Linked DNA regions of Schizosaccharomyces pombe. The gene in region 3 interacts genetically with the main gene of each other region. Each region holds a gene or a part of one and is shown on either strand. Other genes may lie near its edges.

What was found.
Region 1: of his7 (region 3) and atg7, changing one enhances a phenotype caused by changing the other (phenotypic enhancement), as found in Schizosaccharomyces pombe (one study listed by BioGRID).
Region 2: of his7 (region 3) and git7, changing one enhances a phenotype caused by changing the other (phenotypic enhancement), as found in Schizosaccharomyces pombe (one study listed by BioGRID).

The regions. Positions count from the first base shown.
Region 1 is NC_003423.3:2,633,727-2,645,341, reverse strand, and holds atg7 (E1 Atg8 and Atg12 E1 activating enzyme Atg7), read left to right. Parts: upstream 1-8,733; 5' UTR 8,734-8,747; coding exon 8,748-8,938; intron 8,939-8,979; coding exon 8,980-9,085; intron 9,086-9,126; coding exon 9,127-9,459; exon of another isoform or gene 9,460-9,494; coding exon 9,495-9,929; exon of another isoform or gene 9,930-9,989; coding exon 9,990-10,145; exon of another isoform or gene 10,146-10,183; coding exon 10,184-10,608; exon of another isoform or gene 10,609-10,649; coding exon 10,650-10,953; 3' UTR 10,954-11,051; downstream 11,052-11,615. Other genes in the region: ofd1 (2-oxoglutarate and Fe(2+) dioxygenase domain-containing protein 1), read left to right, coding at 1-296; U4/U6 x U5 tri-snRNP complex subunit Prp1, read right to left, coding at 632-3,352; ubiquitin hydrolase Ubp14, read left to right, coding at 5,333-5,428, 5,498-7,729; microtubule-site clamp monopolin complex subunit Mde4, read right to left, coding at 11,052-11,615. UniProt on the Schizosaccharomyces pombe protein: E1-like activating enzyme involved in the 2 ubiquitin-like systems required for cytoplasm to vacuole transport (Cvt) and autophagy. Activates atg12 for its conjugation with atg5 and atg8 for its conjugation with phosphatidylethanolamine.
Region 2 is NC_003423.3:858,786-867,886, reverse strand, and holds git7 (SGT1-like protein Git7), read left to right. Parts: upstream 1-1,857; 5' UTR 1,858-1,892; coding exon 1,893-2,149; exon of another isoform or gene 2,150-2,205; coding exon 2,206-2,599; exon of another isoform or gene 2,600-2,642; coding exon 2,643-3,131; 3' UTR 3,132-3,232; downstream 3,233-9,101. Other genes in the region: ubiquitin hydrolase Ubp15, read left to right, coding at 1-1,347; SPOM_SPBC36.11 (uncharacterized protein), read right to left, coding at 3,582-4,613; phosphatidic acid transfer protein Ups2, read right to left, coding at 6,102-6,656; U2 snRNP-associated protein sap61, read right to left, coding at 7,814-7,947, 8,003-9,101. UniProt on the Schizosaccharomyces pombe protein: Involved in cyclic AMP (cAMP) pathway, possibly by participating in the assembly or the conformational activation of specific multiprotein complexes.
Region 3 is NC_003423.3:2,035,963-2,046,466, reverse strand, and holds his7 (phosphoribosyl-AMP cyclohydrolase/phosphoribosyl-ATP pyrophosphohydrolase His7), read left to right. Parts: upstream 1-4,274; 5' UTR 4,275-4,320; coding exon 4,321-5,574; 3' UTR 5,575-5,734; downstream 5,735-10,504. Other genes in the region: rpl8 (60S ribosomal protein eL8), read right to left, coding at 127-903, 970-972; gid2 (ubiquitin-protein ligase E3), read left to right, coding at 2,704-3,346, 3,407-3,960; Cu(2+) transporting ATPase Ccc2, read right to left, coding at 5,766-8,480; SPOM_SPBC29A3.21 (uncharacterized protein), read right to left, coding at 9,073-9,375; TIM22 inner membrane protein import complex and succinate dehydrogenase (SDH) anchor subunit Tim18, read right to left, coding at 9,888-10,367.

The DNA.
Region 1 (11,615 bases), 590 kb from region 3:
ACACAGCTTTACTAGAAGCTACTCTTTGCTTATCTCCGGGGACAGGCATTGCGAATACTGACAATGGTGCATATGATATTTATATGATTGGCGATGAAGATCCTGATGTAGATGCTGCTGTGTATAGGGGTGATCAGCAAGATGACAGTATTTTGCTTTCTTTGCCAGCCGCTTGGAATGTTTTTTCTTTGGTTTATAGAGATGAAGGTGTCCTTCAATTTGTCAAATATGTGTCGCGTCAAGCCGAATCTAGTCGCTGGGATATATATTCACAATGGAATCCCGTTGCTGAGTAAAGGCAACATATACTTAAAAGGGGTTACTTAATTTTTTTTTCTCTAATTTTTTGTCTTATTTTTGAAAGTTTTTCCCTTGTGTTTTTTAAAACCCACTTTCGTGTTGATAGTGTGTATTACATAAAAAGTTTTGGTTTACACTTTTACTGCTTTCTTAACTGGTATTCTTGTTGATTTAAAGTAAGTGTTCAATCGAACCTGTTTAAAAATCGTTCTTTTTTATTAAAAAGTCCGTAAATTTACAAATATCTAAAGTAAATTCGAATACCAATTTAAACATTAATTTTAAGATAAATAATAGATCCAATATGTTACAGTCATCATTTTTGTCGTAATCATAACACATTTATGGCAAGATGTAATAGTTCCTGCGGAGTTTTCCGAGAATTTTTGATATCTTTAGTAATACTGGGCCAAAAATAACCATGATGAGGATCAGCGGTTTCAAAACTTGTAAGCACTTCTTTCTGTTGGTCTTCGTTCCCAGCCTCTAAGCTATACTTATAAAACCAACACCACACATCTCCGTTATCTTGGTCAGCCTTAACAGCTTTTAAAAACCAACTACGCGCCTTATCTGCTTTTTTTTCCAGCCACAGCATCCTGGCGATGGTGCAAAGTAAATGTGCATTGCCTTCACATTTCCTTAAAGCATCTGTAGCACGAGTTTTACGCTGTGCGCGAGGTTCAAGCCATATAGCCTCCGTCCACAGCAAACCCGAAGATGGGCATTCCTGCAAGGCCTTAGCAAGGGCTGCACGAACTTGTGAAATATTCCCCGCCCGGAGTTCCATTTTTATAAGTTCAAGCCATAAAAATTCATTCTTAGGATTTTTAACCTTAGCCCTATCAAACACAACTCTCGCGCGTATAACGGACTGCTTTTCTTCAAGTTTGGCTAGCAAAAGCCACAAAGGTATGGAATAAGGACAAACTTTTGTGCCAGCCAAGTATGCGTCTCGAGCAAGCTCAATCTGCTCTTTATCTTCAAAAATTTGACCCTTCATCATGTACAACTTATCATAATGGGGATAAATTTTCAGTGCATTTTCCAAAAGTTGTAACGCCCGATCTTTTTCGTCCAAAATTCGTTCAAGCGAAATGGATTTAGTCCATATTCGTTCAGTTCCCGATTCGATACGAGCACGGGCAAGTAGCTTTCTGGCACGTTCATTTTCATTGTTCACAAATTCAATTCTGACAGCAGCAAGCCATATCTCTTCGCTATTAGAATTATATTCAAAAGCTCTCCCAAGAATATTCCGAGCACCAGCAATATCATTAACGTTTTTTCGCTCTTTAGCATAAAGCAACCATAAAATTTCGGCTTTAGGACATGATTCTACAGCTTTTTCTAAAATAGAACAAACACTTTCTGTTGTACCATACAGCTTTTCAAGTTCAACAGCTCTCAGCCAAAGTTTCTCACTTTTTGGATAGACTCTTAAAGAAAAAGCAAAAACAGCACGCGCACAATCTATACATTTACGAGCTATAAAAGATTGAGCATCATCTAACCAGGTGTCGAATTGATCTTCTTCATCCAATCCAACACCGAGGCACGTATTAATTATAGCTTGTGCAGTAATCACTGCCCCTTCAGTTTCGCATTTTTCAGCCTCGGAAAGCCACTGATCGCGTTGTAACATACCACCAGTAGCCTGTAACTCACTTACACCACGAGCCATTATTTTTTCCACCCGTGATACATTACCTTGCTGTTCTTCCAAACGAGCAGCAGCAATCCAAACCTCATGGGAAGTACGGATGGTTTGTCTGGCTTTATTGAGCACCTTTTTAGCATTCTCATAAGTTTCAAGTCGAGCAAGAGCTAACCATAAATCAATGGACATGGGTATTAATTCAACGGCACGAGCTAATAGTATCCTTGCATTATCCACTTCTTCTTCTAAATTTACAGCTTCTTTCCATAAGCTTACAGAAGTCGGGTTAAATTCTAAAGCTTTTTTTATAATCCTTTTTTTGTGCTGAGCTTGATTTTCAAGTTTTTCGGCTTCAAGCCATAACGTCACTGACTTTGGTAATTTTTTAACGGCATTTGCAATAATAACTTTTGCTTCTGCAGCCGGGTGTAGTCGTATTGCTTCTAGCCAAACATCCTCAGAGCGAGAACAATTTTCGCAACCTTTTAAAATTAAAGATTGTGCTTGAGATAATTTATTCGCGACCTCTTCAAGCCGCGCAGCAGCTACCCAGCCAGAGGCGTGCTTTGGATTCGTTTCAATAACACTTTGCAACAATTTTCTAGCTTTTCTTATATCACCCAGGTCATTGGCATTTTTTGGAACCATACTATTCAGACTAGTTAAATACCCCTTCGGATCTATAGTCGATGGTGAAGTCAAATTCGACGAAGCTTGTGCTAACTTGATACCTAAAACTTTGTCACGAGCAGCTCCAATTTCAACAAAATTTGTTTTTGTCCCATTCATATCTGGAGTTTCTGTTCCTGCTTGAGTATCCACTGCAAAATTAGAGATAGCTTGATTTTCATTGCGAGCACTTGCAAGAACAAAATCACTTGTTGCATAAAATCTTTCACGTCTCGGCTGTTTAGTCCTTTTTTTACGAGTTAGATCGCCGGGTTCTGGGATATTATTCCAGTCTTCATCTGTCAAAGTGGATAACCCACGTTTTAAGTCCGCAAATTGTGAAGAAACCTTGGGGTTTTCTTTTTCATATTTTTCTTTCTGTAGCTGTTCTTGTTTTTCACGTTGGGATTTTCTTCTTTTACTTAAATGTTCCTCTACAGATTGATATATTTTATCAGCTTCTTCGTCCTCATGATCATATGGAGCAGTAGCAAACAGCGCTACTTCATTGTCAGGATCCTGATAACGAGGATCGATATCTTCTTCTTCCTCTATTTCTGATTTCCTTTGTTCAATTGCAGCCTTTATAGATTCTTGGGATGGCAATTCTTGAGCAGGCCCAAGATCTGAACGCGTTGTAAATCCTGTTGCACCACGTCCTAAACCTGCTACATAGTTAGGAGGTGGCTGCATATTCAGAAAATCTGGATAAAAGTTTGCCATTCTAATTATCTGCAATTAAATGCAATAAGCCGAGCCTTTCGGCTTTATAAATATCTGGTAGTGGCTTTCAAATTTTAAAAGTAGGCAATACGAAGAAGAGAAATTAACTCCTAGCAGCTTTACTACAACAAAGTTAAAAAGAGCCATTAGGTAAAAGTAAATTTAGAAAAACTTAAGATAGAATATTTCTTAAACAAAATAAATTTCCTACTGTATGTAATGATTTTACAATCAAACGATATATAAATAAGCATTGTGATTGACTTGTTATACACTGAACCGCTAACACACGAGTATTTATGATTTAGCATTTGATAGCCAAATAAATTTATTAGATTTTTTGCAACAATTTTGAAAAAATGCATGAACAGTGTTTTCTTCCTTTCTTTTATTTTCCTACTTTTCTTTGAAGATGAATTTACACTTTGTAAATCAATGTCGTGTAAAGTATGCAGAACGGTTGAAATTACGAAAAATATTGTTCATCACAAGCTTTGTGAGTATTGGAATTAAACAAATCTTAATTGAATCCGAGTGATAACTGGACAGACGTTGCAGCAATATTTTTGCATGGCCACTACGTTTGTCTTTTAATGTCTCGGTATATTATACTGGTGTTTCAAATCAATGCTCATCGTATCTAGTATGAGTGTACCTGGACACATCAGTCAAATTTATTTTCGCTTGTAAATTGTCTTATTCTTTATCATAATGCCAAACCATTGTATTTAGAATTTTATTTGCAAAGTAATTTACCAAAACATATTTAACATCTTAAATAGACATGCTTGAGCTACGTTGATTAAGTGTTTTGATTATAACTGCAGGTTGTGCAAGGCTAATGTAATATCTTTTAGAAGTATATTCGTTGGATTGATAAGTTCTAAGAAATTTATACTGACTCCAGCCATAAGATGCAAGCAAGTCAGTTTCACAAAAAAGAATAAAAGATTCAGATATGTTAGATTAGAATCATCTGCAAAACACTGATATCAAAATATGATAATAATCGGCAATATATATGGCTCGTTTCATTTTTAACTTAGCTTTTCCAGGTTAATTTTGGGTATTAAAATTGTTCTATTTTATTCCATTTATAAATATAGGCATGAATTATGTATGTAGTGTGTAAATAAATTTGGTTTAAAGAAAATACGGCAGCTAATCTAGCTGTATCTTTTTCTCTTTTTTTTTTTTTTTTTTTAATATTATAAATTTCAGGAGTACCTGTGTAAATGATAATGATATATTCAGAATGATATTTTAATAAATACAGCGTATATTAACCATCTGTTTACAACTTGAGTGAGTATAGTAGAATCTGATGTGTGGATTTTCACTTATCATAAAAAAAATTCAAGAAATATTAATTAACTATTGTTATTTTAAGACTGTGTAAATAAGCTGTTTCTACAAATCTCCTGCTTGATAACATTATATATGCCAATGTTATTTACGCTGTCCACTGTTGCGTTAATACATGGATACAGCAATGAGTATTCTATTCGAATATTCAATATAAAAATGCAAGCTTACAGGAAATGATACAAATGTTGTTTTAATAAGCAATATCTAATCAGCAGTATAGGTAGACTCGACAGCATACATCTGCACTCGGAAGTCTAAATATGGTAATAGTTCATGCACAGTATTCTTGGTTTTTAATTTATTTACACAATAAAAAGAATAACCCCAGGATGTTCAATTATTGGACCTCTGGAGTTCTACAAACAAGGAAAATTGAGTTATAATGATATTACTCGTTGCAGTACTGTAACGTACTGCAATTTAGTTTATAATTAAACGAATTAATAAGAGTTTGGTATGCAGGATTAGGAGTATTAATTAAGCCCTCTGTAAAACATGATGGTATTTTAGTTGTAGCGATACGTTAATCAACAAGATGCACGTATATTATTAACTAATGTTAATATTCTGCCTACCTCATGTCCATCCATCCATAAACACCTATAGCAACCCATGTCGTGTCCGCACCTCACAGAGACAAACGTTGTAATCCCAGATAATTCTCAGGTAATATATCGTGAAGAATGCGTCCGTTGCTTTAATTCGCAGGTATGTTTTTTAAATAGCTTGTTTTAAAACATGTACTCAGAGGAGTTCAAATTCGTTAACAAACGTTAGGATGAAGAAGGTGGAATTGATTTATGCTTAACCTGTTTTCAATCTGGATGTGGGGAAACTGGGTTAAAACACTCACTTGTCCATTTTGAACAAACTTTGCACCCAATTGTGGTCACCATTGCCAGGCAACCTAAGCAAAAAATTAATGATGAGCCTCCCCAAAAAATTACGAAACTTGAGATCAGAGAAGATAGTGATGAAGATTTATATGATTATTTTTATGTCCCTAAGTGTTTGGTCTGTAATATAATATTAGATATACAGGATCCCTTACTTTCGTTATCATTAGAGGCAATGAAAAATGCTACCAAGGCATCAAACAAAAGTCAATTAACTGCATGGGAAAATGAATTAACTACTTGTGATCATATAATAAATTTACCAGAAAATGAAACTTACGTCACAAATTTGGACAATGCTACATGTTCAAAATGTGATCTTGCAGAAAATCTATGGATGTGTTTAACATGTGGCGCATTAAGCTGTGGAAGAAAACAGTACGGAGGAGGTGGTGGGAATGGGCACGCCCTTTCTCATTATGATGATACAGGACATCCGCTTGCAGTTAAACTCAAAAGCATTTCACCTGATGGTCAGGCTGATATATATTGTTATAGTTGCGATGAGGAAAGAATTGACCCAAATATAAAGACACATATGCTAAATTTCGGCATCGATATCGCCAAGTTGAACAAAACTGAAAAATCTTTGGCTGAACTACAATTAGAGCAAAATTTAAATTGGGATTTTGGTGCCTCCGAAGAGGATGACGCTTCAAAAAGATTGTTTGGACCAGGATTAACTGGTCTTAAAAATCTTGGTAATAGCTGTTATCTGGCCTCAACTATGCAGTCGTTGTTTTCTATTAAGGAATTTGCTATTCACGAATTAAACCTTTTCAACACTTATAATTCTGTTTGTCAAACCCCCACTACAGATTTGCAATGTCAACTTGGTAAACTAGCTGATGGTTTAGTAAGTGGGAAATTTTCTAAACCTAGCAAAATTGGTTTACTCAATAATCCTTCTTCATCGATTCTTCCTTACCAAGATGGTTTGAGGCCTTTTATGTTCAAAGATGTTGTGGGACAAGGGCATTCTGAATTTGGAACTTCTCAACAGCAAGATGCTTATGAGTTTTTATTGTATTTGCTGGGGAAAATACGGAAATCTAGTATTGCGAAAACTGACATTACTAAGATTTTTGACTTTGAAACGGAGCAAAAATTATCTTGTCTTTCCTGTAAACGCGTTCGCTATTCTTCTTTCTCTTCTCAGGGATTGACTTTGACAGTTCCGCGTGTTAAAATTGGTGAAATTGAGGGTGAGCAAATTTATGAAGAAGTCTCAATAGACCAATGTTTAGATGCAACTATACAACCAGACCAAATGGAGTATACTTGTGAAGCTTGTAAAAGTAAACTAGGAGCTACAACTACTACTGCCATGAAGTCGTTCCCGAAAGTCTTGATCCTACAAGCCAACCGGTTTGATTTACAGGGATATCAAGTTAAGAAATTAAGCATCCCTATAATAGTTAATGAAGACGGAATTTATAATTTCGATCGCTTAATGGCTAAGGACCACCCAAATGACGAAGATTATCTTCCTGAAAAGACAGAGACCATTGAATGGAACCAAAGTGCTATTGAACAGCTTCAAGCTATGGGATTTCCTTTAGTCAGATGCCAACGAGCATTACTCGCTACTGGAAATTCTGATACTGAAACTGCCATGAACTGGCTATTTGAACATATGGAGGACCCTGAAATTGACAAACCTATTGAAGTTTCTGAATTACTGCCCAAAGCAGACTCAAGTGTTTCAGAAGAAAATGTTCAATCATTATGTGAATTCGGCTTTACTGTTGCACAAGCACGAAAAGGATTGCTTGAATCTAACAATAATATTGAGCGCGCAGTTGATTGGATTTTAAATCATCCGGATGAAAGTTTTGAAGAACCACCACTTGAAGGATCAGATTCTTCAATAAAAAATGAAAATATGGGTAGTTGGGAATCGACAAACGTTCCAGTCAACTACAATTTAAAGGCCATAATAAGCCATAAGGGCTCAAGTGCGCATGCCGGTCATTATGTAGCATTTATACGCAAAGAGATAGATGGAAAGCAGCAATGGGTTTTGTTTAATGATGAAAAGGTGCTTCAAGTTGCCTCCTTGGAAGAAGCAAAAACTACCGGATATGTCTATCTTTTTGAAAGGCTAGATTGACATTAATTTATATCATTTTTTTTTTTTTAATAGCAATCATCGGAGCGTCTTATTGAATTTTGGGTTGAGCAGAATTTGGTAGCATACAACAACTAAATTTTTTTAACATTACATTATCAAAGAGACCCGGATTTAAGTCTTTCTTTACAAAATAGACCAACCATTCAGTTTGGCTTTAAAAACTCCTTTGACGCAAAAGTCGTTTTACAGTCATCACTCCCCGAATATTTGAAATAAATAAAAAATATCCTTAATAGCATTTTGAGTTACCTTCTGTGAACGAATTTCGTATTTTAAATTTTGAAAGAGTAGTTTTGATTGTAAGTATCCACGCACCATTCCAATTAAATGCTATATCGTCTCCACGGTCAAGAGTTTCAAAATATGTAAATTTGACCCTAAATACATAAGAGAGCTGACATTCATTTTATTTGAAAATATATCTGAAACCCAATTGTAAGCTACGCAGTTTGGTATCTGATTTAAGGATACGTAGAACTGCGGTGAGTTTTCCTTGTGATCTATTATATTACAATACACAGGTTGTATAAGTAGCAACTGAGTATAGGTATTGTATTAACTGGGTTATAATGTTACCTATCACTAATATAGCTCATAACTGAACTGAGGAACGAGGTTCAGCAGTAGCTCTATTTATAGTATTCAGATAATATTGATCTTAATAGATTATCATTAAGATCAATCTCCATATCGTATCATACATGGTACGATATATAATTAGAACATGTGACATATAGTGATACGCAACGTAGTGTAGTATTGCTGACACCAATGTAATTATAGCATATTTGCAATATTCAATATATTCTGTAATAACGCAGGTGTAAATTGGACTTGCCCTAAATAATTTCTAATTTAACGAAATTTAAAGCACAGTGATAAACAGTTCACGGCTTCAACATGTAATGACATCTATAATTTACTACACTACTTACTGTGTATACCCAGCAGTATATAGTAACTGTGTAGCAAACTAACGTTGTAGCAACGTTCAGAAATGTTTGTTGGAAAGGCATTGCAGTTTCAGTCATTCCATTCCTCCATTGATGCTACGTTTTGGCATCAATTGAGCAATTACAAAGTCGAAAAGCAAAAATTAGACGCGTCACCTTTAACTATTCATGGTAAATTTAATACATATTCAAGAGGAAATATATCAATTGTATTTGGAGAAGCGCCATCAAACAGGTAATGAGTGTACAATAATGCTTCATCTAATCTGTCCCTAGTAATATCAAAGACTGTTTAGCCGAGGGTACACTGTTAAATGCCAATACTCCTCAAGAATTTACTAACGCTGACGTGAAAAAAATTCGAGAGGAAATTGGTGAAGTTGTAAGTAGATTGATACAAAAGCTCATTAACATTATGTATAGTTATTAAATTCAATTAAAAACGGAGTTGTTTCTGAAAGGCCTAATGAATTACTTAGATTTCTTATATTTTCTTACGCCGACATAAAAGCTTACAAATACCATTATTGGTGCTTATTTCCTTCGTTTAAAGAAACTCCTCACTGGATTGTAAAAGACTTATCACCAGCTGAATCGCTAATACCTTCAGGTCCAATTTTATCTCAAATTCGTGAATTCTTGTCTACAGCTGATTACTATCAACGCCCTTTTTTCTTATTAATAAAATCAACATTAGATGAATGGACTATTGCACCTCTGAAGGAGCTTTCCCACTGTGTGGACAAGTCGCTTCAGGTATGCCATCGATTTTTAATCCAACTAACACGTAGTTTTATCTCGTTGCAGAAGATTCTGTTCAATTGGCAGAATATCCATCTTGGCCAGTCAGGAATATCCTCGCTTTTGCATTTATTAAGTTTAAATTGAAAGTGATTAATTTATTTCTATATCGCGATGGGATTAATTCTGATACGCTGTCGAAAAGCATACTAATAAAAGTTGAAGCAGATAAGGATATGATTCTTGAAGCACCCCTTTCAATCGTTGGATGGGAAAGAAATGGAAAAGGCGTTTTAGGTCCCCGGGTCGTTAATTTGTCTACGGTCCTTGATCCTTTTGTATTGTCTGAATCTGCTTCAACGTTAAACCTAAGCTTGATGAGATGGAGACTAGTGCCGCAATTAGATCTCGATCGTATTCAAAACTCAAAATGTTTACTTCTGGGGGCCGGTACTCTGGGTTGTGGAGTGGCAAGGAATTTGCTGGTAATGAAATTGAAATAAAATATTTATATGAAGCAAACGACCAAATTGCTAACGTTCTAGTCGTGGGGGGTGAGACATGTTACATTTGTGGATTACTCTACTGTCTCCTACTCAAATCCTGTCCGCCAGTCATTGTTTACATTTGAAGATTGCAAACGAAAGTTGCCAAAGGCAGAGTGTGCGGCGCAACGGCTTAAGGAGATATACCCGAATATGGTACAAAAAATTATTATGAATGCAAGCTAACAAAGAAGTTTTCAACGGGATATAACATCAGCATACCAATGCTTGGACACCCTATATATGAAGCTGGCATTGAGAAAACTATGCATGATTACGAAACTCTTGAGAACCTTATTTCCACTCACGATGCGATATTCTTGTTGACCGATACAAGGGAATCACGTTGGCTTCCGACAGTCATATCAACTGCCATGGACAAGTTGTTGATCAATTCAGCATTAGGATTTGACAGCTGGCTGGTCATGAGACATGGTAGTGTTTTACAAAAAGAGAATCGCTTAGGTTGTTATTTTTGTAATGACATATTTGCGCCTTCAAACTCACTAGTTGACCGTACACTTGATCAGACCTGCACAGTAACACGATCAGGATGTGCTAACATTGCTACAGCAATAGCAGTAGAGTTATTTGTTAGCTTGCTGCAGCACCCCAATGGGTACGGAAATTTTTTTTAGAATTATTAATTATCAATTTTAGACATGCTGCACCTGTCTTAAATGAAGATCAAACTGTGTTAGGTGAACTTCCCCATCAAATTCGAGGGTTCTTGCATAATTTTAGCCTAATGAAAATTTCAGGGATGGCTTATCCTCAGTGTTCAGCTTGCAGTGAATGTATTATAAATGAATGGAACAGAGAGAAATGGATGTTTGTTTTACGAGCCATTAATGAACCGGACTATGTTGAAGAATTATGTGGATTAAGAGAAGTACAAGCATTAGGTGAAATTGCTGGCACAATGGAAGAATGGATTAGTGATAAAGAAAGTGTGATTCTTTAATGGCGTGTGTTATGGACCAGTATACTAATGAATTAAACTATGTTTGGAAAAATCGATAATTGAAAAATCTATGAAGTGTTAGACAAAATCTATTTAATTTATTTTTTCATTGTAAATCCTTTCTTCAATTCATTTATCTCATCATTTCTTTTTTTTAACGGACTTATTGAGCGTCGTAATGTACTTTTAGTAGGTTGTATTGTCTCTAATAGAAAGCTAGATTCGCTATCTTCTTCTGTAAATTCACAGTTAGAAACAGTATCCTTCAACTTTCTTTTTTTTCTGATTGGAATCTTAGAAGGACTCAATGATGATGGGGATTGTGGTATTTTTAAGTGATCATTATGATTAATATCACTTACATTTGAAGGGATGGTATCGTCTAAGTGTTTTTTAAGATAACGAGCATTGGATGGGCTTACGGTCATGGAGTGGGGATACTTGTCACGCGAAAAAGGCTGTGAGGACTGAGCTGATGGCGATGATTGAGGCGGACTAGAAGATAGCCCTATAGAAGTAGAAGTTTTTTGAAGAAAAGGGGTAACGCTCAAGGGGGATCCTGAAGTTGCATTTGGTTGTCGAGTACCCATAATTGCCTGTTTCGAAGGGGAAAAAAGTTTTGGGGACGAAACACGAGGAGAAACAAGTAAACTCTTTCTCTC
Region 2 (9,101 bases), 1.2 Mb from region 3:
ATACGTAAAGACATGGATATGAGAGTTTATGTGGAATTCTTAAGTGAACACAATCAGCTACTTGCGGATTTTGGTGCCACGGATGATAACGATTTCGACACCTACATTTTTCTGAAGATTTTCGATTATGAAACTCAGCAAATATCCGGTTTGGCCGACCTACATGTTTCAAAGAATAGCCCCATTTCTTCACTTTCAGAGTGGATTCGTGAACATTTAAAGTGGTCTTCTGATGTTCCTATCACATATTATGAAGAAATTAAAACCGGCATGGTTGATGTTTTGGATCCGAATGCTAGTTTTGAAAAATCCGAGATCCAAGTGGGAGACATTATATGTTTTGAGAAGAAATTGGTCCATGATTCTTCATCGGACACCTCTCACCCTTACAAATCAGCTCTTGACCTCTATGATTTCATGGCACATAGAGTAGTAATTACTTTTGAGCCTCGTTATTCCGATGATACCAACAATGGTGTTTTTGATTTGGTGCTTACAACGCATACCAATTATACTGATATGGCTCGAGCAGTGGCCAATAAACTTAATGTCGATCCTAATTATCTTCAGTTTACTATGGCACATCTACCTTCGCGCACTCCTCGTTCAGTAATTCGTAACCCTTCGAAATTTACCTTACAAAATGCGATACCATCAACCTACTCTCATAACCAAAATGTGGTTATGTTCTATGAAGTCTTGGACATTACGCTTAGTGAACTGGAGCGTAAGCAATTAATCCGGGTGCATTTCCTGTCGAATGGTATTTCGCATGAAACTCAGATGGAGTTTTATGTTGACAAGGAAGGAACTGTGGAAGACATTCTTCGACAGGTTACTCAAAAAGTACCTTTAAATGCTGAAGATGCTTCGAGACTTCGTCTTTATGAAGTTTACAATCACCGGATTTTGAAAAGTCATCTACCCACGGATGGAATATATGATCTAAATGAATTCTCCACTGCTTATGTTGAAGTCACGCCCAAAGAAGAACAAATGCAATTAAAGACTGATGATGCAGTGTCAATTGTAGTACAACACTTTTTCAAAGACTTATCACGGTTGCATGATATCCCATTTTATTTTGTCTTACTTCGTGGTGAGACTTTGAAAGACCTAAAAAAACGGCTGCAAAAACGATTGGGCTATAACGATACCCAGTTCTCGAAAGTCAAGCTTGCAGTTTTGCAGGCCCAGTCATTTGGAAAGCCTTATTATCTTACCGACGATGATGAAGTACTCTATGGAGAACTTGAACCACAGTCACATATCTTGGGACTCGATCATCCACCAGCTAATGGTAGTGCTCAATACCATGGTATGGACCAAGCAATAAGAATGAAATAATTGTTTATACATCACCTTTTTAAACCTCCAATTTGAATGTTAGCGGTGCCATTTACTAGAAGCCAAGCAATTTTGTTTCAATCAATAAATTGATATATTCTGGCAAATAGTAATGCATTCGCGTAATGACGTCTTTGTTTCAAAATTTGCGAAGCACGCTTCGCATTATATGATATCTTACTATTTACTTGTTGTTTTGCGTATGATTAAATAAAATCGATAATCGCCCGCTCTTTTATACTCAAATTTTTCCAAAATGTATTCTTTTATCTCTACAGTGATTCATATTGTAGCAGAATGTAATGTTTATTGTTAATAATTGTAATCGTAACATTTGATAAAATATTCACATGAAACCCATAGCCAAAACTCATTTAAATTGGTGTTTTATTAAGTTATCAACCCATGTTTGGTCCATCTTACATATAATAATAATCTTGATGATCTGTATTCCTTACACGCTTTCACTGGGCATTAGCTTTTATCACCACCTTCAATTTCTAATCCACCAAGCTTCTGCGCCGTTTTACAAGCAAAACCATAAAATGGGTGTAGATCTTTCTGATATTAATGATTCCCTTTTCAAATTATCTGATAAACTGTCAAATGATTTGGCGAAGCAGAGAAACCTATGTATCGTAAAAGAACCATCATTCTCAATAGAGGAGCATATCAAGTGTTTTACAACTTGCATAAATACCTACAAACCATTTAGTTGTCTAAAGCATGCTAATTGGGCTTTATTGCTGGCAAAAAAGAAATCCGATACCGGTTTAATTGGTTATTGTCAATCTCTAAGAGGGTAAATACGATTTCTAAATTCCTATAATTCTGTAATTTGCTGACTATGTTTTACAGGCTTGCGTATTACTTACTTGAGCAATATCAAAGTTCTGCCATATGTTTTGGATTTGCCCTAAAACATTTAAAAAAAGAAGATTTAACAAAATGGCAAGTTCAACTAGACAGCATGCTTACGATCGTTCACGAACAACAGAATCAGGACACCTCATCGCTCATTCCAGATGAATGTCCAAATATTCCGGAATTAGAAGCTGCCAAAATTGAAGGAGACGAAGAGTTCCTTAATATGAGCTTGAAGGCGCCGGAAGGCCAAATAGAAAAAAACGAAGAAAAACTTTCAAATAGAATTCGTTATGACTGGTCCCAAACGTCTTTTTCCCTAAATATCGACATATATGCGAAGAAAGTCAAAGATGAAGATGTGAGCTTATTAATGGAAAAGAACACTGTAAGGACTGTGCAAAGCTAAACCGTCCGGCTAACCATTTTAGTTGAAAATAGAAATTAAGCTTGAAGATGGATCAATATTCTCCTTGGTTTTAGATCCTCTGTATGAAGAAATTGTTCCTGAAAAATCGTCATTCAAATTATTTTCAAGTAAGGTTGAAATTACCTTAATTAAGAAAGTCAGCGAGATAAAATGGGAGGCCTTAGTTAAGAGTCCGGCGAACAATTCGGTGAACGTCTATGCTAAAGATTCAAACCATTCAAGTGCTTCTGGTAATACGAAAAATAAAGCGAAGGATTGGGATTCGCTAGCAAAGCTGGCAGATTTGGAAGAAGACGAACCTACTGGAGAAGCTGCTTTGGCTAACTTATTTCAAAATCTGTACAAGAACGCCGATGATGACACCCGAAGAGCTATGATGAAAAGCTATACAGAAAGTAACGGCACTGCTTTATCAACTAACTGGAAAGATGTGAAAAGCAAAACATTTGAAACAAAGCCTCCACAGGGAATGGAACCAAAAAAATTTTAACTCCGAATGAACTTTTTACATTTACAAGCTTGAAGAGAAGCTTAACAATTTATTTATAATTATATATCTAATTTGATGAACTATCAATTGAGATTTATGCGAAATAAACTCTTGTAAACATTTACGTTTAGAGTAGCAAATTAAAAGAGTATAAGAAACAGTATTATTAAGTTCTTTTGCAAAGGCCATATGCAAATAGAATTTGAAAAATTAAAAGATTAATTGATAAAACCTTTAGAATTAATTCCAAAAGTTGCCTTCCGGTGTGAGTTGTATAAATTGAGCAGAAATGTTAAAAAAACCTTCTATTCCATCTAATATGAAAACAACCAGTATTATGATTTAATGCAGTGAAAATGAAAAAAAATGAGATATCAAATATACGTGATTAGTTTAAAAGTCATTAGTATATCTTAGTAGTAGCTGGAAACTCCATTAAGCAGCAATTCCTTAAAAATGTTCTGATCTCTTCTTTGAATGTTTTTTATGCTCTTCCGAAATTTCATGCTCATAGGAAGACTTGCGAATTGTAACAAAGGGGTCATTCAAACTGTTTTTGTCAAATTTATCTTTTTCATCGAGCAACTCACTAGATGATTCAGTTGAACTTTGTTTTAACTTCGTCTCATCAGAATCATCGTTCGAATGTGACCCAGAATTCGAGTCATTATACAAATCCGAAGATATGGATAAGGGTCGCCTTCCTGGAATTGGTGCCAAGGGTCTTCCTTGAACGGATTGAACTGCACCATACGATATAGAACGCCTTTTCTCCAAAGCACTAGGAGAACGATAATTTCCAATAGTTGCAATTGAATTCCGTTTAAGTATGCGAATATTATCTGAGTTAGCGACATTACCAGGAGGTGTGACAAAGTCTGCAGCATTGGCTCCTAAATCGCTTGAGCGCCTGGTGTCATTATAAAAAGATTGCGACCGTTGAGGTATAGTCGAATTACGTGGTGAAGAAGCCCAAGGAGTTGAATGCATTTGATAACCACCACGATAGCCCATTTTTTCTTGCTCAGTATTTTTTCGTACAGCAGCAAGACGAGATTTTTCTTCTTCAAACTGCCTTTCAAACTCTTGCTGCTCAGCTAAGAACTTCTTCCTCTTAAAATGACGAAGGCAGTAGAATATTATCACTAAAACAATTAACCCACCTAACACACCAACAATGGGACCAGCAATTACGCCTGTATGGTTATGTTTTTGAGCACCATTTGGTAAAGAAGATGCACTTGCCGAGGGTGGAGTAGAAGCAGATGTTGGTTCGGGGTTTTGCGTTGAAATAACAGTTGAATAAAAACCACTGTAAGAAGGATCATCAGTTGCTTCGGGTCCAGCTGTGCTAGTAACAGTTACTACGTCGAGAACATGAGATGGTTTGATATATGAAAAGTCGGAAGAAAAAACTGGATAAGAGGAAGGAAGTTCGTCGCCAGGAACGGTTGAAGCCAAAGAATCATTGGAAATTGACATAATAGATGACAAACCAATCGTAAAAATGATAGAAATTAGAATGTAAATGAAACTTGAAATTAAAAATCCAATAAACTATAAAATTTTGAATTTCTCAAAGAAAAATTCGTTAATCCCAAAAATGTCAGAGTAAATTGTTGACGGAATTTCGCGACAACTGATAAATAAGAAATATTAAAATCTTCTTCCAGTAACCTCTAAGTACAAGAATGCAAAAAAAACCCAAAATGATTTAAAATACCTTGGTTAAAATGGTAATAAAAGAGTAGATGGCAACTATTGGAGAAGAATAAAGCTATAAAATGATAAAATATACAGTATGTTCAAAGCGTGCGAGTTAATTAGACATACAAAACTATATAGCCGTTGAAAAAACCTTGACTTGAATCATAAGCGTTAATGTAAATAGGAAATAGAAAATGTTTTAAACAAATCTTACAGTAATTAAAAACGAACGACTAGGGAGTAAGGATCAGAGGAGAAATATTAGAATTGTAAATTTAGGCCAATTGCTCATTGGTAAAGTCCACAAGAGAAAATTCAAAAGTGAGACGTCTTTCAACGGTACAAAAATCAAACAAAAGAAGCACCAAAAAGATCAAAATTGCGATCAAAATTAGTCTATATTGAAGAGTGTCGGTAGCGGTTGGAAGACGGATGAAACTCCGGGACAACACTTTCCGCTTCACTAAAGTTGGCTGGTAAGTATAGGAGACAGGCACTAAAGAGAAAGTCCCGTTCCTTTTATTCAGTACGTTATGGGTAATACTAATAATTGCGAGAGGTTGTACAATTCTCTTTTAGTTTTTAAGAAAACTGGTTCTTGGCCACAAATTCTACAGATTTCGTATTACACTTAAATGCGAATTGCACATGAATGCAAAATGTATTAATTGTATAATTCAAGCAATGATAATTTAGGCGCTTGTTATATGAATGTTATTATATTAACTAAATTTTAAAAAAAAAAAAGGAGTGGATGTCCAATCTTGTTTTGTAAAACAGATATTGCATTTAAGAAAGAATAAACCTTTTAATTTTCAGATAGATGATTTGAAAGCAGCCTATTCCATGGGGAGAAAGAAGCAAGCGATTAACATAGCGCATCATCATTTGTGCATTCACGATTTTTTGGGGAAATAGACGATTAAATTAATGGTATAAAAGTTGTAAACACACATGTTTGGAAAAAGCTTATAAGTCGTATTGGTCAAAAATATGACACACATTTTGTTTTAAAAACAACAAACATCTTTGAGCGTAGACATAGATAATGGTCAATCAACTTGAAGAAGTTTTTAATTAAAAGAACGAGAATAGAAGAGAGGGGATCAAAAATAGGTTAGAGGAGTAATATTACGAGAAACAGAAAACTAAAAGACGACTTATTGCAACATTTCGCAAGCCAACTGACGGAGAAAAGATTATTTCGTAACCGATAACTTTAAACTTTTGAAAAAAGAGAGAGGTTGAATCAAGAAACAAAGTCTATGCGGTCGCTTCAGAAGAACCAAACGGTCGCGTTTGGAATACAGACATGTTTATTTTTTCTAAAACACTTTCGAAGCCTTCTTTTCCACGGGAAGCTTTCTTTCCAAAACCATCAACCGACCATTGTTCGATCAGGTTTGACAACCGCTTCATACACGCTAAGGCTTCAATTCGAGCCTCCTGTTGAAAAACAGTAGCTTCCAGTTCAGGATGGGGTGAGTAAGTCACCGTCTCATCTACTCTCAAACGATCACTAAACGTCAAGTTTGAGGTTAAAAGTGTTAAAGTGCGCGCTTTCAAGTCAACATAGCTAGTTTCTCGAATATAACAATCTTGCGCACCGTCAATCAATTTTAAAATCCATCTAGGAAGGGCCTGGTGACACGTGATCAAGCGTTCCGTATACAATACACCATTATCCAAAACCTTGCGATCAAGAGTATCCACGGCTATCACATGAGTAGCATGCTCATTGGGATACTTCTGCCAGTGAGCCGCTGAAACTTGTTCAAAAGGATATTGAAATAAGTGGCAACTTTCAAAAATCTTCATTTAGGATACCTAAATTTTATGAAATTTTACGTGAACTAAGTAAAAAAAAAAGAATGAATGACCCTTTTAAATCAAAAAAGTTAGCTAACTTCTTTTAGCTATTAACTTTTGTCTCTCAAGAACTAAGAAAACCAAAAGTTTCTTTCTGGGCCGCTCGTAAGATTTTTCTTTAATTTTTTTCTGAGGTAAGATCTACTAACTGATGCACCTTTACTTTTCGAGTTTGTTTTAAATTGAAATCAGCCCGTAAGTAAAATATGCTTTTTTTGGGATCTTTAACTAATGTACAATTTCTTAGTGTATGGTTTTTTTTATGTACAGAGCAGTGGAGCGGAACTATTTTTATATGCGGTTTTCTGGTTGGCGGGACAAAGGAGCTCCAATAATTAACCATTTTTACTTAAACTATAGCCATAAGCGAATCAATGCATTTGGTGGAGGTGGGGTACGACAGAGGATATGCATCGCACTTTTTATAAGGTTGTAGTTTACGATGCACTATATATAATAACGCACCAAAGCGGAATAAGGCCTATATTATACTAATGGGTTTTTAAAAGTGTCATTTAATTATGTTTATGGATAAAAGATATATAGAAATTTATATAAAATATGTACTTTATGTATTAACAACACTATCTCTTATGAAGGAGTTGGATTTGGTTTCTAGCTGAAATAATTCTTATTTGTTTTAGTTTTTTTTTTTTTTAATACGGTGATAATGCACAAGACTCATTGTTTTATTATGCTTGAGAAAATTATAGCATTTGCTACATCAAACACTAACTAGCCCGTAGAAGCGTATACGTAAAAGATAACAGAACTCTAGAATTTCAATCAAACCCAACTGGGCCTTAGATCGTCAAAATGCCGGGAGGAGATCTATCGTTGAGCAGTGCTATGAGAAACTATCAAAAATTTCGCAATCAAAAAGAAAGGGGGGAAATAAAAGATCAAAACATGCTGTGTCACGAGAATTCAAAATAGTATGCCTTTTAGCTTTCATGTTTTCTCTTTTCGTTTGCTTCGGTATGTAACGCAAAGAAGAATAAAGGAGCATGCTCAGCATTTTATAACTCAAGTAGGAAGAAAATATCAATTTTTTATTTCTTTAATGTACACTTACACGACTACAAAAATTGAGTCATGTACGTTATTTATAATAAACCTTGGGCCTTTAAATCGTTGTAAACCTTTTCAGACATCACATTACCTTCGTCATCTTCCATTTCATTGAGAGACGCCATTGTGGTTTCCCGCTTCTTTGAGTCCACCTTGTACTTTTGCCAAACTAAAAATTTTCGTTAGTAACATAAACTCACCAAATACAATCATTTTTTTCTTACGTTGCAAAGCTTCATCAATAGAAGTAATCTGATTGAATAAAGGTGAAGGTGATATTCCTAAACATTTTAACCCGTATATGTGCCTTTGTTCAGTAAAGTGTTTATCAAATGCCTTTCTACCCATATACACGTAATTTCCACAAATTTCACAGGGAAACTCTTTACCAAGGCCATGGAGTTTCCAAAGCCAGAATGGAATAGGTTTACCATCCCATCCCAATGGCAGCTTCAAAGGGTTATATATCTTTTCCTCATCATCCTGATCACTTTCCTCATCCTGATTTCCCTCAACACTTACGCTTGGAGTCGATTGTTCAAAGGCTTCTCTTTCCGCAGCCTCTACTTCTGCCAAACGTTCTGCAGCCGTCAAAGTTTGTCGACGAACAACATTTTCACGAGTATCCTTTCGAACATCGTCAAGCAAAGACGTTAACTTTTTTATTAAAAACTCGATACGGGCAATCGCTTTAGGTCCTTTTTGCTTCTCGTTCGTATTACTTGTGGTAGATGGACTAGAAGACTGCATCCTCTTAACGGCCTTATTATGTGCTTTGCTCTTTTTGTGAGCTTCAAATACAGTGATCTTCCCAAAAAACTTTTGACAAACTTCACAATAAAATGCTTCCGTCGAGTCTTTCCCATCTTTTTCGGCTTCAGCGTTGTGTGAATACCAACCAGGAAGTCCAGCTTCCCATGCTGCGTCGAATTCAGTATCAAAAACCGCAATAATCTTATCCAAGTTTGACAGAGGGTGTGTCCGGCGATAAAAGGACACCAAGTATTCGTATAAATGAGTTATATAGTTGATATATGTTTGATTTTTTTCAGGCTTGGGGATTTGATCAAAATCCTCCAAATTTTTCAAATATTCTAAGTAAGAAATATGCTGTACATTGCTTAAGTTTATATATTCTTCGTAACATTCGTTAAGATCCATAAATCGACCATACATCTCTTCACCTCGAAATAACGTGTCAATCTCGTCAATCCCGGGTTGAGAAGGCTTTATGGAATATAATTGACTCAGATCCTCAACTTTATGATCAGGATATTTTTTGTGAAACTCTTGGATCTCTCCCAGCGATTTATAAAACTCTGT
Region 3 (10,504 bases):
CTACTTTAGACTTGATAAGAGATATAACATATGTCAACGCGTCATTGATTAACTACATAACACGCCAATTATAAACTTCTCCCAAAAGAACTTAAGAATTTCCATTTTCAATCCAGATGAATTTATCTAGAGACGAACAGTAGCGGCAGCAGCCTTAGCACGCTTAGCGAGCAAAGCTTGGGTCTTACCACCCATGATACCACCACCCCACTTACGACGGCTTTCGTCGTACTTAGCAGAGAAGTTAGCATCAACGGCGGAGACAATAGAAGCGAGTTCGTTCTTGTCTTCCTCACGGACCTCAGTGACAGCTAAAACAGCAGCAGTCTTTTGGTGAATGACAGTACCAAGGCGGGCCTTGTTCTTGACAATGGCATAAGGAACACCCATCTTCTTGCACAAAGCAGGCAAGAAAACGACGAGTTCAATGGGGTCGACATCGCTGGCAATGAGAACCAACTTAGCCTTCTTGGCCTCAATGAGAGCTACAACATGGTTCAAACCATATTTAACATTGTAAGGCTTCTTAGAGACGTCTTGAGCAGACTTGCCGTTGGCAACAGCCTCGGCTTCAGCAACCAAACGTTGCTTCTTTTCAGCAGCAGTCTCAGGACGGTACTTGTTAAGCAACTTGAAGACCTGAGTAGCAGTGTTTTTGTCCAAAGTCTTCTGGAACTGAGCAATGGCAGGAGGAACCTTCAAACGCAAGTTCAAAATCTTGCGACGGCGTTGAAGGCGGATATACTCAGGCCACTTAACAAAACGGCTCAAGTCACGCTTAGGTTGGATGTCTTGTCCAATACCAAAGGAACGGGGACGGCTCACGAACAAAGGGTTCTTAGTAGTTTTTGCAGCCTTAGGCTGAGCAAAAGGTGAGGGTGCGACCTTTTTAGACTTGGGTGCCTACATTTATGTTAGATAGACTGGTTTTTATCAATTTATCGACTATTTCAATCGATTGTCACTTACCATTTTTGGTGGTTGTTCAAGTTAGAAGTTTCTTTCCACGACGGTTTTTTGGATACTGTGTGACTGTTTAGCAAACCCTACCCTAGGACGGTGTTTCAAACGTCGTACCCAAAACAACATCATGGCGAAAAAATATAACGATAGTTAGTGAAATACATGCAATTGTAGCAAAGGATTATGGATGTGGAAAATTGGAATATTTGAGTCTTTCATATACTTTTTATGTTTTTACTTTATTCTTTACAAATAAATACGATTAGTCTTAAGTTAATTTAGCACAAAGATTTAAAGTCTCACGCAAAAAAAAGTTTTCACACCTGAAAATCTGAAAACTTCAATTTCCATAAATATTAAGCTATCAAATACAAACAGAGTAATGATTTTGAAGAGCTGAGATCGAAAGAATTCTCGAGTTACTAGATTTCAAAAAATTTGGGATGCCAGCTCGAGTTATCCTATTAGGCTTGTATCCCACGGTCAATTCAGATCATTAATAGTAATAGTTAACTTTCCAGATACTCTACGGAGAGTTGAATTTATACTTTGATCTAACAAACAAAAATCAAGTTAATTAATAGATAAGTCAATTGAAAGCTCACCAGGCGAAATGTCTTATCTTGCCGCAAAGAAAAATATATATATAGTATACAGGATAAAACTTTTTTTCAAAAATTCAGATTTAGCTGATGTTTTTTAAGTTGTTTCAAGCAAGGTTTCATCTCTTGCTGATGCCAATAATTATACTCTTAAGTTCGAGTGTAACTGATAAAAAAAAATCAATCTTTGTAGTATAGGAGTTTCAAAAAACGTTTACATTCTTCAAACCAAAAAAAGCTAAAGGGCGCATTATCATAGAAAAAGTTTTTTCTAAATTAGCTCCGCAATCAGCATAGAGGAAATATGAAAACAATATACCGCACTTTCAAGAACTCAATAATAAAACGTACCTGAATTACAATTGCTCGACCTTTCTCCGAGAAAGTTACTTTGATAGGATCAGAGAGAAGATTAGCTTATAAGAAGATAGGTATCAACATCCGATCAATTTAATATCGGAGATCTGAACAACTTGTCTCATCATTTCCTTCTCCTGGTCGACTTTATGGAACTAAAGGGTTACAATTGCCATTCGTTTATTGATCGATAGTAAGCTTTCTTGATATCATTAAATAGGTTTTATAGTTATTTATCACCAAGTGTACATGTATTTCTAAAGTCATCCACTATGATTTAATCCAACGCCAATACAGATAAGTTTTAGTCTTTCAGTTATTTGAAGTTTCGATTCATAGGATTTTGAAATACAAGTTCAGCTGGCAATAGGAAACAGGTTAATTGCAATTAACAGAATATTACGAAATGTTGATAAAAATTCTAAATGCCGATATTGGTAGATGGGAAATTTGGTACCTGATATGTAGCAGAGTGACTTCATTTGCTCACTGATACAAAGCACTTGGCACGAGCAAACCACACTATAGGATGCTCTTATTTTAATAATTGGTGTCTAATAGTGCTTTTAAATACTTATAGAACATCTTCTCAATTCATATTATAATTCTTTCTTTTCCAATCTTGCATAGTTTTTAATCAACTGAGCAACGTGCATTGAAGATTTATTTCTTTGACGATAAAGCCCATACTTGGAGTATTTAAAACAAAGGTGTTGGAATTGGACAATATTTTAATCTATTTCGTCTTTTATTTTTTTTCGTAGTAACTTCTTTATACATAATGAATATCGACGAATGGCAGCGGATTGAAGAAACGGCGCCTGGAAATAAATGCTTAGCTAAGCTTAATGAATTGGAAAGTATATTAAAGGATGCAAAGAAATCTTGCCTAAAAGATCCTACTACATCTATGAAGGAATTGGTAGCATGCTCTGAAAAAACACAACAAGTTTTTGATGATCTGAAACGTACCGAGAAGAAGTTTCACACGTCTTTAAATCGATTCGGTAAAACTCTTGAGAAAAAATTTAACTTTGACTTAGAAGATATCAAGCTTCATTCATCGTTTGAAAGTAAAAAGCGTGAAATTGATACTGCTTTATCATTGCATTTTTTTCGACAAGGCGATGTTGAGTTAGCCCATTTATTTTGCAAAGAAGCTGGAATTGAAGAGCCCTCCGAAAGTCTTCACGTTTTTACGCTTCTCAAATCTATCGTTCAAGGGATTCGAGATAAAGATTTAAAGTTGCCCATCGAATGGGCCTCTCAGTGTCGTGGTTATTTAGAAAGAAAGGGAAGCAGCTTAGAATATACGCTTCAGAAATATCGACTTGTTTCTAACTATCTCACTACTAAGGATATTATGGCTGCGATACGATATTGCCGCACAAATATGGCCGAGTTTCAAAAGAAACATTTAGCGGGTAAGTTTAAATGATCATAAATATATTTAGGGAATTTTTGGTTTTTTTAACTTATATAAGATATCCAAAAGACAATGATAGCTTTGTTCTTTTGTTCCAGGAATGAGGTCCTTTCGGGTACAAATGACTCGCATGATTCCATCCATCATATAATATCAAACAACGCACAACTGAATATTCCCCAAGAGTATATTGATGTACTTGATCTTGATTGGAAATCCCTTGAACTTTTATTTGTTCGAGAGTTCTGCGCTGCATTGGGTATGTCCTTGGAATCCCCGTTGGATATAGTAGTAAATGCTGGGGCCATTGCTCTACCTATTCTGTTAAAGATGTCCAGTATAATGAAGAAAAAGCATACAGAATGGACTTCACAAGGGGAACTTCCGGTTGAAATTTTTTTACCCAGCAGCTATCATTTCCATAGTGTTTTCACTTGTCCTGTTAGCAAAGAACAGGCTACGGAGGAAAACCCTCCTATGATGATGTCTTGCGGTCATGTTATTGTCAAAGAAAGTCTTCGACAATTATCTCGAAATGGCTCTCAACGATTCAAATGTCCCTACTGTCCTAATGAAAATGTTGCTGCAGACGCTATTCGTGTCTACTTTTAAAAGGAATTTAAGATAATGATTTTATTTCAACTAAATTAAGAGTATTATAAATGCCACCAAAAGACTGTTTCCTAACCAAGCAAGGATTTCGCTATGCCAACGAGAATCCTAATTTGCGAAAGTGGTTTCAAAATAATGACTTAAAAAATTGATGGAAGTATTTATGAAGCTAAAAATTACTGTTTTTATCTTTGATGATTCACCTACTCTCCCTACTTGAGATCTCTTTTGAGTCAGAAAATCTGACGCATTGTAACCTGGTTACCTAAAGGTGATTTATGATTGTTACTTGGGGCGATGTGAATCTTTCGTTTGCCAAACAGAAAAGTAGTTAGAGTTTTAGGGGTATTTGACTTACAAATGGCTCTTTTACCATTTTTTGATCTTACGAACTTTGAGAGTGATGCTTCTGAAGAGTTAGGATGGCTTAAGTACGTCGGCAGAGTGCAAACAAGAGTGTTTCCTCAGCATTTCAAAGATAATCTCGAAAAAGTTCGCAAAATTTCGGAAACGATTGATGTGATCGTTGACACGACTGCTGAACTTGGACCAGAGGCCTGCGTCAACCTTTTGAACGCTGGTGCACTCGCCATACTGGTTAATGAAGAAATGCTAAACGAGTTGGCAGACATCTCTCCGAATCGTTTGGTTTTGAAGACAGACACTACTGATATTGGAAAAATTGAAAAACTTTCACAAGTTGCTGGTTCTATTCAATGGATCGGCAGTGCTGAGAATTATCCCCCTGACTTTTTTGAAAGAGCCAGCAAGATCATTCACAAAGCTGTAATGCCTGAGGGTGGAGGCCGAACTTTATATTTGGAGTTCCCCGAACAACCATCTATGGAGGTACTGAAATCTTTTTCTGTTCACTCTGTCGTTCCCGTTCTGTCAAGTTCTTTCTTGACAGTGAAGCCTGCCGAAGAGCCCAAGAAGTTATCATTAGCTGATCTCATTTTGATATCTGCCAATACTGATCGTGAGGATGGACTATTTTCTACTTTAGTCGTCAATGAGCTCGGTATTGCACTTGGTCTCGTGTATTCTAGCAAGGAAAGCGTTGCTGAGTCTTTGAAGACTGGCACTGGAGTTTATCAATCCCGCAAACGTGGCTTGTGGTACAAGGGCGCATCTTCTGGTGCTGTTCAACACTTAATTCATATTGACGTCGATTGTGATGAAGACTGCTTGCGCTTTGTCGTCTATCAAACCGGTAAAGGTTTTTGTCATCTTGACACCTTGCATTGCTTTGGACAAGCTTCAGGACTTTGTCAGTTAGAAAAGACTTTAATCGATAGGAAGAATAATGCTCCTGAGGGATCTTATACTGCTCGTTTGTTCTCCGACCCAAAGTTATTGCGTGCAAAAATTATGGAGGAAGCTGAAGAGTTGTGTGATGCTACCACCAAAGAGAATGTTATTTGGGAAATGGCTGATTTGATGTACTTTGCCATAACCCGCTGCGTCGGTTCGGGTGTTAGCCTTAATGACATTAGTCGTCATCTTGATTTGAAACATCGTAAAGTTACAAGAAGAAAGGGAGATGCTAAAGTTGCATGGCAAGAGAAACTTAAAGACAAAGGAGGAGTGGCAAACACGTCTTATACTGCCTGAATTTTTTAAATTTCTACTCTTCATTCGCAGATGATAGCAGTCGGTCTAAGGTGTAGTCTACTAAAACCTTGCTAATGCGGAAATTTTTACTTTGTGTAATTATTTAATAATGAAAAAAAATTCATATTTGCTGTTTGTACTAATATTATTTGTTTTATATTGTTTAATTTGAGCGCTGGATAGATAATAACTCAGACTTCATTAGCCACTGGCTGGTATTTGTTGCTCGACTTATTCCTACCAAATATCGACCTTGTCGCTGTGTATACCTTCTGTAATACACTAGAATTAGTTGAACTCTCTGTTTCAACATCATCTGCTTCACTGAATATAAGGCTCTTAGGCTTTTTCCATCTCCTGAGAAGTAAGCTACTTGCAAGAACACTAAGAGAAGAAAACATCATAGCAGCACTAGCCCACATAGGATTTAAGTAGATTCCCCATGGAAGGAAGAAGCCCATTGCAATAGGAATCATGACAAAGTTATATATGCAAGCCCACACAAGGTTCATTTTAATTCTTTTAACGATAACTCTAGACAAATCAAAGGATACTGCGGTATCAAGTAGAACGCCTTTACGTACAAGTATTACATCTGCACTTTCTAAAGCAATGCCTGATCCATTAATGGGAGCAATGCCAACATCAGCCAACACAAGTGAAGGCGAATCATTTATACCATCACCTACCATAGCGACACAATGCTTCTGATCTTTTAACTTCTGAATAATTTCAGCCTTTTGAGAGGGAACTGCTTCCGCGTAAACATCAGAGAAATCGATTTCTAGTCCTTGGGCAACGCGTCGGGCAGTGGCTTTTTGATCACCCGTCAATAAACAAACCTTTTTACCTAATTGTTTTAAAGCGGATACAGTTTGGTACGAGTCGGGCCGCACTTGGTCCATACAGCCCAAGAAACCTACAAACTGGCCATCGATAGCGATACGAACACAAGTAAGCCCACTACTAGAAGAAAGCTTCAGCTTTGAATCAAAGTCATCAGGTATCGACACGTTGTTATGTTCCAGTAACAGTGAATTCCCAAGCAAAGCATGAAAAGTCCGCTCTTTCCACCTAAGTACAACATCAACACCTTCACCTGGCACAGCATTGAATGATTCAATTCCAATTTCAGAAACATCGGTAAATTCTGAAGCTTTCTCAGTAATAGCTTTTCCAATTGGATGTTCACTTGAAGACTCTGAAGCTTTAACAAAAGCCCAAAAAATATTCTTAGGAATGTCAAGTAATTCCTCCAAATTATCTACAATGCTTATGTCGGTGACACTTAGCTTACCCACTGTAAGTGTGCCTGTCTTATCAAAGACAACAGTGTCAACCTGATTTAGACGCTCTAAAATTTCACCACCTTTGATGATGATACCGTTCAGAGCACCAACACCGGTTCCAACCATAACGGCTGTAGGGGTACTTAACCCCAGTGCGCATGGGCAGGCGACAACGACGACACTAATTGTCAATTTTAGGCAAACTGCAAACTTTCCCATTGGATCATCAAACACCGATGGGTATTTTGAAGAATATTTAGTGAATAAAAACCAAAATGTAAAAGTTGAAATTGAAAGAGCAACAATTACTGGAACAAAAATTCCAGCAACGCGATCGGCAAATTGTTGGATAGGAGCATGTGAGATTTGAGCCCTCTGAACAAGATCAACAATCACAGCTAACTGTGATTCTCTAGGTGATTTTGTTGCTTTTACAAGCAGTCGTCCATTCCCGTTAGCTGTTCCGCTCAAAAGTTCATCGTCAATTGTTTTATGCACTGGAACGGGTTCTCCAGAAACAGAACTTTCATCGACGTAGGAAGAGCCTTCAACAACCGTACCGTCTACAGGGATTATTTCGCCAGGCTTGACTAGAATGAGGTCTCCACGCTCGATGAGATCAGCTAAGATCTCAATTTGTTCATTGTCTTCTATTATCGTTGCACTGGAAGGAGCAAGGCTCAACAGTTGAGAAAGAGCAGCTGATGTAGAACCTTTAGCTTTACTTTCCAAATAACGACCTAACGTAACAAACGTCAATAGCATATCAGCGGTATCAAAAAATATAGGAGCAGGATTATCAGCATGTCTAGCGCTGTAGAGAATCATGAAAAAGATACTGGCAGCGAAGGCTACAGTGGAGCCCAAAGATACTAAAACATCCATATTGGCTGTTCCTCTTTTCAGTGCATGATATGCGGCAGAATAGTAGACCCTTCCAACACCAAACTGGACGGGAAGGGATAATACTAGGCTGATGATGTGGCCAGCACATATACCAAAATAATGGGGGACCAAAAAAGCAGCACGCATGGAATCACAAGAATCGAATATCTGGGGTAAAAACATCACCGCCAAAGAGAATGATATTGAAATAATAAATCGGATTTTCCATACTCTAATTTGACTCCCTCGTTGAAGTGACAGAATACGAGAGGTGGAGGAATCTACTGGTTGAAATGTACATTTGACACCCATAGATAATATTTCCTTCATGATGGAACGAGGGCCAGTAATCTCAGAATCATAAATGACACGTATAGCTGCATCCGGGGAGGAAGAGCAATTGACGGACAAAACGCCTTGCAGTTCATTGATATGATTATGTACTTTGGTCCATTGTTCCGCCTGCATAGGAGAAAGTAATAAATAATTAGCCATGACACCATGTTCACCCTCTGTTGAAGAAATCACAGACGCATCAAATCCACAATCTTCAATTTTCTCAGCGATCTGATCCGGTGAGATAATGCTAGGATCATGAACGGCAATAGCACGCTCAAGAAGCAACGATATAGTGAATTGTTCAATTCCTTCCACTCCTTCCAACATGGATTGGATAGAGGCCACACAACTGGTGCATGTCATACCCTGGACTGAAAGTGTAGTAGTATACATTTTAAGAAACTAAACAAAATTTTTAAAGGCAATCTAAATTATAAAAAGAAATAACGAAAAAGAAATAGTACAAGCCAATTAGAGATTAAATAAGGAAAATTAAGAGAAGCGAGTTACTGTATAGAAACGATAAATGTTGGAAATGTCGAAATAAATAGATAATAGTAAGGAACCCAAATCAAAGACAAGAGACGTAAAAAAAAAAAGAAACCCCCTCAAGTGAAGAAATAATCAAAATTTGACGATTAAAACCAATTACTTAATGTAAGTCAACAGCAAAAAGAGACAAGCCGATGATCAACAAAAGAAAATCAACATACAAAACTTTGGAAGGAAAAGAAAAATAACAAAAACGATACCAATGTTAAACAAAGCCAGCTAATAAAGTCTTTTTACACGCTTAGCAGTTAGCTGTTTTAGGTTGGGATACCACGAATTCAGAATTCGAATTCGCTTATTGTATCGTGATTTTCACCACAAAACGATTTAGAAAAAAATACAAAACAAAACGAATTCAACTTCAACAGACTACAGAAGAAGAGCAAATTATCAGCTGAACTTGTTAACAAAGTGTTAGTGAGTGTGTGGTAGATTACAAAAAGCACATGATGGCAGCGATATAAAACCGCAAAAACTCGCGCAAACTACGAAATATACAACTTGTAAAAATAATATTCAAATTGACATAATTATGTTTTAAATTCGAGGAGAATAAAAATCTTTGACAATAATCGATCGAAGCAGAGTACGACTTTTGGAACCGAGACGCATGCACAGTGCAAGCATATGATTCCACTCCCAATTGCTTAACAATGTGTAAAGACACTTCGGTAAAGCAAAATACAACAGTATGGCTAAGAACGTTATGTAAATATCGAAAATTGTAACGCAACATTCGATAAATGAGATTAAAACGGTAAACGTTAGAGCATGTCTTCTAATACCTTATCAAAGAATAAGGGAACGAAGCGTACATGGGTAAATTGTTGACCCATTCTAAACGATAAATAATAAATGGGACACCCAATAAAATAATTCAATGGATTTTGTCTTGGAAGAATTATTAATTCAAGTCGACATAAGGACCTTAACAAGAGCTGCCACAAACTTGAATAGTCTTCTAACCACTCCCACTAGAAAAATTATCGTTGAAGGTAAACATAAACATACTGTGCAAGCGCTAAACAGATTTACACAGATAAATTGAGAGGATCAATCAAGCCAGAAATCAAGAAAAGAGCAAAGATCAACTGCAGAATATCAATTGGCAGTTTTGGGGTTTGAACTGGTAAGTTTCAAGCCCAAAACTTACTAGATGACGGATTAAGGAGAATAAAAAAGAAAAAGGAAAGGAATAATCATTATGAAAAAATAAGTGGGGTTATATGGGTTTGCATGGAAAGAAGCTTAAGATTTCCAAAGCTTTTTAATACCCTCCGTAAGGCCAATATCATTCGTGTTGAACTCATAGACGCCAATAAGTGTAAGAACAGTACATCCACGTAAGATCCAGTGCATCAAAGGAGATAACTTCTTAAATCTTCTTGCAGGGAAGTAGTCAATCACACAAGATTCAAACCCCAAGTGGGCATGCGTAATCAAGGTGCAAGCCAATGCAGCGTCCATTAAGGGATGAGAAGTTCCGGTGAACAAAGGGATCATGACTTGAGGAACCATGGCAATAGCAATAATTCTTTCAAAGTCCCAATGATAGCTTCCGTGGAGCTTACTGTGGTGAGGGAAAACAGCAGCATCATTAACAGTTCCCTTAATGGTCTGAGGGGGAGGAGGGAAAATTTTCGCAACACTGGTTGTGCTAAAAGATTTAACTGCAAAAAGAAGACGTCCTTGACGAAGTGCTCCAAGTCCTAAACGTGTTTGTAACATATTGTTTGTAAACCAAGAAAAGCTGGTGGTGGTAGTAGGTGAGTTCGTATTGGCGGATCTTGTGTCCACATTATTGGCCATTCAACAGCTCGATGTGTTGAGCTTGGAGTGGCCGGAAATAGGCGATGAGAACCTAA